Schizosaccharomyces pombe: one gene and its partner. The main gene of each other region encodes a partner of the protein of the gene in region 2 in a complex. Each region holds a gene or a part of one and is shown on either strand. Other genes may lie near its edges.

Region 1 (5,234 bases), 3.7 Mb from region 2:
CTTCAATCCGTACAGTACAGAAAAATTCGAAAATTGATCATTGCAAGAATATTAATGAATACTACTTATATTACTTCTTTATAAAACATTATGTTATTTGCATGGTATGAGTTTTGGAACCTCATTGCATAAACTTCCCTCCTTAGTGCTTTACGAGTTCATTCGTTTTTCGTTATTTCCTACTCATGACTTGGAGTACCTACGCTCTCCCTTGACAAACAACCTAAGTTTGCAACCAAAACGTCTTGTGTAGCGCGTTTAGTTGCATTTACATTCGTTATTATCACAAATTATGAGAGAAGTAATTTCTGTTCATGTTGGACAAGCAGGTGTTCAAATCGGTAACGGTATGTTCAATATCCATCTTTTTGTATTGCTGTATACTCTAAATAGTTGGCAATCGATTTTTTCATAAAAAATTTAGCTAACATTTCTAGCATGCTGGGAGTTGTACTGTTTGGAGCATGGCATAGGACCCGACGGTTTTCCTACAGAAAACTCCGAAGTTCACAAAAACAATAGCTATTTAAATGATGGATTCGGTACATTTTTTTCTGAAACCGGGCAAGGAAAATTCGTACCTAGAAGTATCTATGTTGATCTTGAGCCTAACGTTATTGATCAAGTTCGTACTGGACCGTATAAAGATCTGTTTCATCCTGAACAGATGGTAACTGGTAAGGAAGATGCTTCTAACAATTACGCCCGTGGACATTATACTGTAGGAAAGGAAATGATTGATAGTGTATTAGAAAGGATACGTCGTATGGCTGACAATTGTTCTGGTCTCCAAGGTTTCCTTGTATTTCATTCTTTTGGTGGTGGTACCGGCTCGGGTTTGGGTGCTTTACTTCTGGAGCGCTTGAACATGGAATACGGAAAGAAATCTAACCTCCAATTTTCTGTTTATCCCGCCCCTCAAGTGAGCACATCCGTTGTTGAACCTTACAACTCTGTGCTCACTACCCATGCTACTCTCGATAACTCTGACTGTACCTTTATGGTTGATAATGAGGCTTGTTACGATATCTGTCGCCGAAATCTTGACATTGAGCGTCCAACCTATGAAAACCTCAACCGCCTTATTGCTCAAGTTGTCTCTTCTATCACCGCTTCTCTTCGATTTGCTGGTAGCTTAAATGTTGACTTAAATGAGTTTCAAACTAATCTTGTGCCATACCCTCGTATTCACTTTCCTTTAGTCACTTATTCTCCTATTGTCAGTGCAGCTAAAGCATTCCATGAATCCAACAGCGTACAAGAGATTACGAATCAGTGCTTTGAGCCTTATAATCAAATGGTAAAATGTGATCCACGAACTGGCCGCTATATGGCTACTTGTCTTTTGTATCGTGGTGATGTTATCCCACGTGATGTCCAGGCTGCCGTTACTAGCATTAAATCTCGTCGCACCATCCAATTTGTTGATTGGTGCCCTACTGGTTTCAAAATCGGTATTTGCTATGAGCCACCCCAACACGTTCCTGGTAGTGGAATCGCTAAGGTAAATCGTGCTGTTTGTATGCTTTCAAATACCACCTCGATTGCTGAAGCTTGGTCTCGTCTGGACCACAAGTTTGACCTTATGTACAGCAAGCGTGCTTTTGTTCATTGGTATGTCGGTGAAGGTATGGAAGAAGGTGAATTTTCAGAAGCCAGAGAAGATTTGGCTGCCTTAGAAAGGGATTACGAAGAGGTTGGTCAAGATTCTATGGATAACGAAATGTACGAAGCTGACGAAGAGTATTAATTTATCCAATAATCGCTTTTATACGTTATTTCATTCGTTTTATAACTTGAAGATATCTTGCATCTACCCTTGTCTCTTTAATCTTTGTTTATTCAGCCCTGTGGTCAAATAACTAAAGGGTGTCTGTCTTTCTTTGAGAGTTAAAATGTTCACCCAGCGGCAAGGAGATAAATTGCTCGTCCACTTATCTCACTGATTTTTTAACTTGAACATTCTTTTTCTTTACTAGTCAATTCTCATTTAGATATCAATCTAATCCACTCTATCTTTGCAAATAAACCACCAGTAAAATTTCAATTTCTCCTTTCTGTGGTATCTTTTTTTTTTAATTTTGCATGAAAAAGAGACACTATAAACTGTAAATTACATTGTGTATTGGCGCTTTTCTAGCTTTACAAAAAAAATGTTTTTAATCTCAACCTCTAAGCAATAAATCGGTTAATTGGTTAATAAATTACTTAACTTATATGACTCGATTGCTCGGAATTAGCCTAAAATCATTTAGAATACGAGCATGAGCCAAAACAGTCTACTGTAGAAGTTTCAAGGACGAGTAGAGAAAACACAATTTTTATTAAAATTAGAATGAAATTTATAAGGTGAAAGTAGAAAAAGGCGTTTTTTTAAAATCATAACAAGATTGTGATGAGATATAATTATCTAAATTGATTGCACCTTTCTTTCATACCAAAGAATTAGTCAATCTTTCCTCAATGACAGACCAATCTATGCAATCAAACCATGTGTCGATGTATCTTGAGCGATTTAAAAGACCGTAATCTTTATAATATGCATGATTCCATAAACAAAGGTTTAAAATGGGAACATGCGCATATTTTCGAGGTCTGGCACTATAATCTGGCACACTAGAAATAAGATGGGGATCATTTGATTGCCATCTAGTCCAAAGATACGGAGAACCTGCTTGAAAAGTTCTCAGTAAGTTTAATCTATTATAATCATCAATTACAATCCAAAGCCAACATGCTCCAAAACTATTTGAGGCAAGCTCATGAATTTTAGAAAGTAAATTTTCTTTAGAACCAAAGTTTTCATTGACTGCTTTATTGATAGCGGCATTAGCTTCATATTTTGAGTTTTTTTTGGCATCTGCAGCTCTTTTTCCGATCAAGCTTTGAAAAAAGAAATGATTGTTGTAAGCTTGACTTGCAAACTGGAATGTGGCTGCATGCTCAGGCAAAGCGGCTGTTTGAAAGATAATGTTAAACACAGATGAATCCTCAAGTTCTGTTCCCTTCACTCGATCATTTAATTCTTTTACTACTTGACGTTGATGCTGGTCCCAGGCAATGTCAAGAGCTTCAGGACTGAAAAGTGGTAGCAAATTTCTTTGTGAAAGATTAGGAACTGTGTGGTAATTGTAGCAATAGTTTACTCGATGCACATTGTCTGTAACTGAACTACATCGTTTCAGAAGGTGAGTTATCGGTGAAAGCGCAAGCCCTTTTCGTAGACCTGTGTTGAGCATAAGCAAATTATCTGAATATTAGGTATAACTTGCTGAAATACCTATATAAACCAACAACGAAGTATTTAAGGGAACTGGACGTGTTTGGGTATCGCAGCTCGCCTTGTGTCAAATACAAGTTAGCCACACCACCGCAATTATGAATACGTTTGGACGGTTTGCGTCGGATATCATTATGGGAGTTTAAATTTTTTTGGCTAAAGCTTTACTTGAGTACTTTGTAATTTAAAGCCAAAAATTAAAATGGATTTACCCGTCTATTATTTATATTGAGGTGACTTATCGTTCATGAACTTCAGTACAGAGCCCTATGGGTCTGTAAACTAAGTCATCATACTTTATATGAAAAAGGTTTATGTAAAATAAAAAATCTGTATATTATTAGATTTCAAGGAACGTATACCTACAAAATCATTAACAAAGATAATAAAAGAGCGGCGAGGACATTGGTAAATCCTCGATTTTGCTCTGGTGCCTTTGATGTTTGGGCTTCTTCAACGTTAATGGAGAGAGAACCTTCACTGTTATAATCTTCAGTAAGCTGAATTGGAGATGGGCACAATCCCATCTCATAAGCCGATTCCTCTGGGTACAAGATCATGGGTTCACCGTTGCGTACCATAAATACCTGTCGATTATCTTGTACTGGAACGGACTTGCAAGATAATACGTCCATCCACTTGTGCTCTTCTGCCGAAACAGTATAATGGAAATGAATGTAATATGAACCTAAGTTGTTGAGTACGGTTATTACTTTGCCACGTCGTAAAAGCAATATTCTTTTATCAACGATGCTAATATCCGACTGCATATTTAAGAAAGCTTCTCCGTCTTTGCTTTCAATCATAGCTTTGCGGAAACGATTGATTGTAGACGTGAACTTATAGTAAGGATTTCTTTTTGGGAAACCTTTCTCCCAAATTGCAGGTCGATTATAAGGAACCTCTTCACCGCGCATGGCAAGTTCTTGGCCGTTGTACATCATAGGAATACCATCTCCCATAAGAACAAAAGCAATTGCATTCTTTAAGGTGGCTGGATCACTAGAAATTGAAGCCATTCTAGGAAGGTCTTTGTTCTCAACGAAGTTTCCTAACAATAGGGGATTGACACACAAACCGCGCATGTCAGTCATTTTGTCGGCAAGATCAACAATTCCCTCTGGATTATTCATCAAAAATGCTTTTACAGCAGATTCTCTAACAGGGAAGTTACTCAACCCTTCCAAGTCGTTTTGCCAATCACAAACTTTTAAAGAGTCGGAAGATTTCAAGTCACCCATGCAAAACACTCCAGCAGCTTTGCAAAAATCTGGCCAGTACTTTCTATATTTGTCACCCATAGCATCGAAACGAATACCATCAATTTGGAAAGTTTCTACAAATGTTTGAATATAGTCCTCGAGAGCCCCTTTAGCACTAGGACGCTCATGAACTGAATGGTCTTCATGGCAAGAGCAGTGTTCCTCGTGCTTCCAAGGCTTGTGATCGGGCTTGGTTCCATTGTGGGGAACTGGACGAGGGAACTTACCGTGATGGCAGTGTTCCTCGTGCTTCCAGGGTTTATGGTCAGGCTTGGTTACATTGTGAGGAACTGGACGAAGGAACTTACCATGGTGGCAGTGTTCCTCGTGCTTCCAAGGTTTGTGGTCAGGCTTGGTTCCATTATGAGGAACTGGGCGAGAGAACTTATCATGATGGCATGAGCAGTGTTCCTCGTGCTTCCATGGCTTGTGATCGGGCTTGGTTCCATTGTGGGGAACTGGACGAGGGAACCTACCGTGATGGCAGTGTTCCTCGTGCTTCCAGGGTTTATGGTCAGGCTTGGTTCCATTGTGAGGAATTGGACGGGGAAACTTACCGTGATGGCAGTGTTCCTCGTGCTTCCAGGGTTTATGATCAGGCTTGGTTCCATTATGAGGAACTGGACGAGGGAACTTATCATGATGGCATGAGCAGTGTTCCTCGTGCTTCCAGGGTTTATGGTCAGGCTTGG
Region 2 (6,969 bases):
ACTGGATATAAAAAAAGATGCAAATTAACAAAAAAGGAATATTAAATGCGACTCTCTTGACGACGGAAACAGGCTTTACTATTTTGGAGGATGGTTCTATGTTTAAGCTGAAGACAAAGCATATGACATATCCAATCCAACTCAAATAACCAAAGAAAACAATAGATCGAAGAAGAAGCCAATCGTAACGTTGTAGGTAACGTAGTCCAGAAAGAACCGTTTGGCTAAAGTGGAAACAATGCTCAATAGCAATTTCATATTCACCAGATTCTATGTCAGCAATAACTGAGTTGTAAAAGGATGCTTGTACCTCTGTATAGTTCCTCAAAGGAGAATATGGGCGAAAGAAAATACTAGTTTGATCCTTTGAGGCAGACTTTAAATTATATTGTTCACCAATTTCTAAAGCATTCATTAAGGCAACCTCAGCTTTGCGGCGAGAAGAGCAATCAAGATAATCCAAGGGTATTTGACCCACGGAATTCACAGGAAAATTTAAACCGACAAGGTAAGACATTAAAGCTGCAATATCTGCTTGTTGTATATCAATACGTTTTATCTCCGTCAAATTCCATGGCAAAGAATACTCGTCATGCCCATAATTCTTCTCATGAGTAGGACTTTGAATACCAGCACCCCAGGCAATGATGGGAGTACGTGTATTATCAAGGTTGCCATCACCATGACTTCCAAAGTCACTCATACCATGGTCTGCTGTAAAAACCCAGCTAGAGGCTCCGTCGTTATTGTAGTAGTTGTTCATCTTATCAACGAGTTCTTGAATTTTTCCATCTATATACTGTATGTTTTCGACATATTCAACTGAGTCAGGGTGTTTATTATGGCCAATTGTGTCAATGCCCAGTAAATGAAGGAAGAATACTATTTTATCCCGATGCAACATATCCCAAAGTTCCTTATCCTCTAAAGACTGAGCGAGAAGTTCATCTAGCCTATCAAAAACCCATTCGTCAAGAACAATTCCGTTGCTAGAGAAATCCTCCAATTCAGAAGAATACATGAATGTATCAACTCGAGATGGATCAGATGCACCTTCACTAAACATAGGCAAAATATCTTCGGATCCAAACGAATAAGTATGCCGACTCTGATTAAACACAGAATCGAAATTTACTGGATTTTTTTTCCAGCCTTTTGTGACGGCTGAAACATCTTCGTAAAAACCAGCTATTAGAGCAACATGTCCGGGGCGTGACTCGGTGGGAACACGAGTATGAGAAACACCGAAAGTACCGTTATTCTGAATAATTGATCTTAAAAATGGAGCGGCATATGTCTGCTCTTCTCCAATGACCTTTTCGGAATGTGGTTGTAATAGTTTATCAGGACGTAGTCCATCGCCTATAAGCATATTGGTTAGTAAAATAAGAAAAAGAAGGACAAGAAAAAAGTTGTACTATTTCTTGTTTTTTTTTCTAAATCCAAAACGAAAATATGACATTTTTTTCATTAAGCTCTATACACTAATTTCACTATTACAAATGTTTACTTACCAACAATTAGAAATAGGCGTTTAGCAGGAGCTTCGCCTGCAGAATACTGCTTCATGCCATGTATTAGAGGAGTTACGAAATAGATATCAAAAATGGATTTGAGAAAGACGACATGGAATAAAATCCCTAACAGCAAGAGGCGACCAAACATTGCGAAAATTTAAGCGTGAAACCACTACCACAATTGACTGGGAATACTAGGGGTTTTTGGCAAAAATTGGATAGATGCCAGGACGCTTCTTGGAAAAGAAGGATGCCCTAAACAAGGCAAGAAGTGTTTTGTTCTGGTGAAGTGCGTTTGAGTGTTGAGTCGTTACAAACATCAACAGAAGTCCCCTTTAATCTACCATTGGTTAAAATTCAGATGATCTACGCTCGATCTAATGAATAAGCGAACGCTAATGAATGTATACTGAGTTTTGTAATTAAGGATGCCGTGTTTGAATGCACTAATGAATAGTGGTAGCGCTCCATCGTATATTGTGAGCTATGGCCAATATGCGTAATTAGTTCTAGCTGGATGAAAGAGTAAATAATCAGAAATCTATTAAGGAAGTGATAAATTACTTTATGGTATGCAGTGCACAATAATGGGACTTATAGTCATCTGGTAATTAAGCAAAAAATGATTCTGTAAATGGATATTTTCGGTATTATTTTAATTTCCGTTGACAGAAATGTAAAATGGATGGTTATCATTTCATTGCTCAAATCCAAGATTAATGAAAATTCAGCGGTAAGCATATTTGGTTGTTACACGTTGAGAGTCGGTTTACTCATGACGATTATAATAAGATAAAGGGATACAACCATCAAATTGCTGCTACATGGCCAATAATAAAAAAATCATTTGCAATACGAAAGGAAACGAATTCATTTATTATAACATGCAGAAGTAATAACTTCCTGCGACCAGCATTAGTTTGAATAAATAGAGTAACAAACTCATCGATTTAACTAAGAAAATTGTTATAGGCTAGCAAAACAGAATAGTAATATTAGAGGGTAATGCAAACATTAAGCTCAATCTCGCAGTATTGTCAAACTGAAAAGATAAAAGAAGGTAGAGACAGTTATTAGACAATAAATCCTGTTAAGTAGAAAATCATAAGATAGGGGAGGGGTTAAGCAAAGATACCAGGAAAAATTTAGAAATGACAAAACAAAAAACGAATATTTCCCAAAAATGTCTAGCTCTTAAATCCGCGGAGAAGTAAAAAGCAATATATTATTTTACTTCAAAAGGGGGTTTTCGAGCATTCTCGTCTTAAATGAAAAGCTATGAGAACAACGATCTCCAAATACATTAATTTAATATGGATTTTCGTAACCAAGAAATAGAATGAAATGTTCGAAGAATCACTCAATAACCCCAACGACGCATGTTCTTTGCTAAGTTTACAAGTCGAACAATTCCAGCGCGGAACCTTGCCCTGTGTCTTTCTGAACGAACGCGGGATCGCTTTTCGGATGGTTTTTCATAAAATCTCTGTGAACGGAATAGCCTTGGCACATTATTCCTTTGACATATTCTATCAACTTGTCGAAATGCTCTTGTTAGACTATTTCCAACTGTCACACTTGCACCTAAATCTTTTGTTTCTGCTGCGGGTATCATAAAATGAAGCGAATCTTGGAACGCACCATGCTCCTCTAAATATCAATAAAGTATTAGCAGACAATAATCCAACAATCGAAAATCATATTCTTGAAAGACAATAGCAACTTCAATGGATTTTCTTCGTACCTTTTCTCTTTTGCAATTTCCTATTTGTATGTACCCATCTGACCCCTAGAACACCTGGGAAATAAGAACTGTTCATTTTAAATAGTTATTTTGCGTTTTCTTGGCAATTTGAGAAGCCTGAATCTCACCGCAGTACAACTGCATAAAGAATTCGTTAAATTGCCTTGAACATCGATTTTTTGCATTAGCGTAAAAGACATAAAATTCATAAACTAAAAATAGGATAATCACATTTACACTTCACTATATACCTTTACATGATACACATGAATCTGTTTTCCTCCAACAACTATGCAGCGGCAGAATACGCGTAAGTAATTTCAATTTCATTGCTAAAGAATTTATCTAATTTTATTTAGAGGCTGCCGGTATGCCAATGATGCCACAGGTTCCTATGGTTGGCAACGGCGTTCCATATGTCGTCCCAATCCAACCTGTATTCGCCCCTTTACCTCCTGATTACAGGAGCTTATACAAAAAATTGTATGGCCAAGGCGCTTTTTTGGTAGATAATCCTGTTGAGGCAAGTAGTCCCTATGATTTTTCGCAGCCAATTCTGAAGTTTGGTAAACTTCCCATAAAACAAGTTTTAAGAGATAATGAATCGCAACAAAAAGATAGAAAAAACTTACCCCGAAATCAAAAAAGTAATGAGATTCAGGAGAAACAGACGTTTCAAACACCTTCTTCAGAGAAGTCTACAACAGAAAGGGAATCGCGGCCGTTTGTCCCTCCAAATAGTCAACAAATGCGGCGGATGCTCTTTATTGGTAATATACCGAAAGAATTGGATGATTTTTGGATGGATAAAATTCTTCGATTGTCCGGGAAGCTGGCTTCTTGGCGAAGGGTTGCTGATGCAGATAACTCGATGACTTCGTTTGGATTTGCAGAGTTTGAATCAAATGAACAATTCAGTAGAGCATTAGAAGCATTAAATGATTTTGTTGTTCCACCTTTGTACGAAGGTGGTCCTTCAACTCGCTTGTCATTGATTACAGATGTTGAGAATGAGGGATTGTATCGTGAATGGCAAACGAGTCGTTATGCAAGAAATAAGCAGAAAGAGATAAACATTTTACAGCAAATTCGCTTTAACCTCGAAAGAATTTGTCAAGATATAGGCAATTTTGATGTCCGTTCTCGCATTGAAAGGGCAGCTCGACAGGCCCGAGAGAAAAACGAAAAATTACTACAAAATGTCAAAACTTCGGAAATTCCCATTAATGCTGCTGATTTAGAAGGAATTAATCCTGAATTATTACCGGTTATTGAAGAAGAAATACGATCCTTTCGCGATCAATCTGCTATGAAAAAACGAGAAAAACAAAGGTCTAAGGACGAGTATGCCAGTTTATATAAAGAGTATACACGAAAAGAACAAGAAAAGCTTCGAAAGCAAAATGATGATTTACAAAACCTTTTGTCAAAACATCGTATTTCACGTATCCCTATGTCTACAGTCAATGCCTTTTTAAGAGCAGAAGATAGCATTCCCGAGTCGTTCTCCGATGAACAAGCTTATTATGAAGAGAAGAGAAGGAAGGATCAATTGGAGGCTGAAGAGTATTACGCAAGGGAACGGCGCTGGATGAATCGTGAAAAGGCCCGAACTGCAGCTTTAGAACGAGAAGCTGCTCGTGAAGAAGAAGAACGTGTTAATAACACTTCCTTTGGTACTTATCTTTCGGAAAAATTAGCTTCTTTTGATGACGATGAGGAAGCTCGCGTATCTCGAGACGAATATTTTGTCGATCGTGCTGCTTGGATTAGACATCGTGCAGTTGCTCGTGCTCGAGAAGAAGACGCAGATGCTCTTGACAGAAAGGAGGAAGAAAGAGAACTACGTACCCGTGGAGAAGGTGCAACCGTTGAGACAGAGAATTATGTCGAAAATGGTAAGCTGGTGACTAGTGAAATGCCTCAACATGAAAATGGTCCCTTCAAAATCAAAATACAAACCAAGAAACCAGCTGTTCCTTCTGAAAGACGAGAATTTGGACTTCCGGAGAGACTGCTTTTGGAAGAAGAAGACGAAGAACCGCAAGGCTATTCTCCCAACCCTCAAAAACCAAAGCCTGCTATGGAAGAAAATGATGCCGAGAAGACGAAAAGACTTCGTTCACTTATTGAAAAGATACCTGTTGAAGCAGAAAGTCTGTGGGCACTACCAATTGACTGGAGCAAGGTTACTGAGGTTTGTGATTTTTTCAACTTTTATATGTATCTAAACTAACACATTATAGGATCTTCTAAAAGAAGAAATGCAAGCTTTTGTTACCAAGAAAATTATCGAGTATATCGGTATTCAAGAGGATTCACTTATCACATTTACCATTGATCATATCAGGCAACATAAAGGTGCGGAACAGTTAGTGTCTGAATTGGACCTTGCTCTCGCTGAAGATGCTCCAGAGTTTGTTAGCAAAGTATACCGATACTTGCATGTACTACTGATTTTACGTTCTGAAGCATAACGTACATATTTGGGTAAAGTTTTTATTTAATGGTGACGATTAAAAGTTTGTAATATGTATTTATAAGAAATTTTTTTAAAAAAATAAAGGCAAACCTATGATGCCTTTTTTTTCGCAGTAGAATTGTTGTTTAGTATTTTGAGGCCGGCTTCTAGGGAGATTCCCAAAAAGACCAATAAAATACCAAGCCACTGAATCGAAGATACAGTGTGATGAAAATGAAAAACACTAAGAAGCATGGTGAAAATTTTTCTTGTAAGTGTAATGGTAACGAGCGTTATGCTTCCAAATTTTTCAAGGGTGAAGAAAATGAATAATTGACCGACAGAACCTGTGCAAGCAAACAACAACATGTCTTTAAGGATGCTTGGATGTCTGTTTATAAAAGACAAAGGCTGCTGGTTGCAAAAAGGAGAGATTAAATACAGGCCATTTAAACATGCGATACCCAAGTTGACCGCAATCATCATGGTAACGCTTGATAATTTGTATTTACCAAAAACCTTGTCTTGAGTAGTATTAGTAATTCCGTCCATGAGCAAATTAAAAAATAAAAGCAGTAAGCCAATAGGACTATCATGCTCAGCATGTTTACCTTTGGAAGAAGTGTTTTGAAAATAACTAAAGATACTTACACCTGCTGTAATCATTGTAACAATCAGGTATTTGTGAGGAGGAAACTTTCGTTTGTAAACGAACACATGTAAAGCAATAACTGGAAGTAACTTGCATGATTTTCCCAGAATAACAGTAGGATAAGACAAATGAAACATGCTTGCATATCCAAAGTAAGAACTTAAGCTAGCCGATATGGCAATACTAGAAAAGTATCCTAAAAACTTAGGCTCTAGCAAGCCTCTAGCAGAAACACCATGAAACCAGTTCCAAAGCAACCCACAAAGGACTGTCATGAAGGACTGTGCTAAGCTAAGTAATGCAGGAGAAGAAAACCTTTCACCATCGTAAGGTCTTGTTATAATTTTCTCCTGCATAACTGCCCAAGAAAGAAATGAACCATAAATCCCAATCATGCAAACAAATAATTGTCGCATAAAGCCAGCCATTCTAAAGAAATTGATGAACCAAAGGTAAAAGGAAAGTAACAGAATTAACCAAAGAATGTAACTTTAACAAGGATAAAGCAAAAAGGGTCTTGAAAACTCGCTCAAGTGAAAGTGATAGTCGTAATACTTAAAACACGAAAATTAATACAGGAGTCTTTGTCTAATTT

Evidence for each region. Proteins that work in one complex are often made in the same cells at the same time.
Region 1: mrp21 (region 2) and SPOM_SPBC16A3.14 share a complex: the UniProt entries of both Schizosaccharomyces pombe proteins name them as parts of the mitochondrial small ribosomal subunit.

Annotation. Positions count from the first base shown.
Region 1 is NC_003423.3:4,268,699-4,273,932, forward strand, and holds SPOM_SPBC16A3.14 (mitochondrial ribosomal protein subunit S26), read right to left. Parts: upstream 3,335-5,234; 5' UTR 3,240-3,334; coding exon 2,433-3,239; 3' UTR 2,293-2,432; downstream 1-2,292. Other genes in the region: nda2 (tubulin alpha 1), read left to right, coding at 293-347, 438-1,750; meu7 (alpha-amylase 4), read right to left, coding at 3,643-5,234. UniProt on the Schizosaccharomyces pombe protein: Component of the mitochondrial ribosome (mitoribosome), a dedicated translation machinery responsible for the synthesis of mitochondrial genome-encoded proteins, including at least some of the essential transmembrane subunits of the mitochondrial respiratory chain.
Region 2 is NC_003423.3:614,802-621,770, forward strand, and holds mrp21 (mitochondrial 37S ribosomal protein bS21m), read right to left. Parts: upstream 3,373-6,969; 5' UTR 3,338-3,372; coding exon 3,262-3,337; intron 3,168-3,261; coding exon 2,878-3,167; 3' UTR 2,390-2,877; downstream 1-2,389. Other genes in the region: its8 (pig-N family GPI synthesis protein), read right to left, coding at 1-1,362, 1,515-1,665; U1 snRNP-associated protein Usp107, read left to right, coding at 3,553-3,571, 3,621-5,458, 5,508-5,738; ER uridine diphosphate-glucose transmembrane transporter Hut1, read right to left, coding at 5,834-6,802. UniProt on the Schizosaccharomyces pombe protein: Component of the mitochondrial ribosome (mitoribosome), a dedicated translation machinery responsible for the synthesis of mitochondrial genome-encoded proteins, including at least some of the essential transmembrane subunits of the mitochondrial respiratory chain.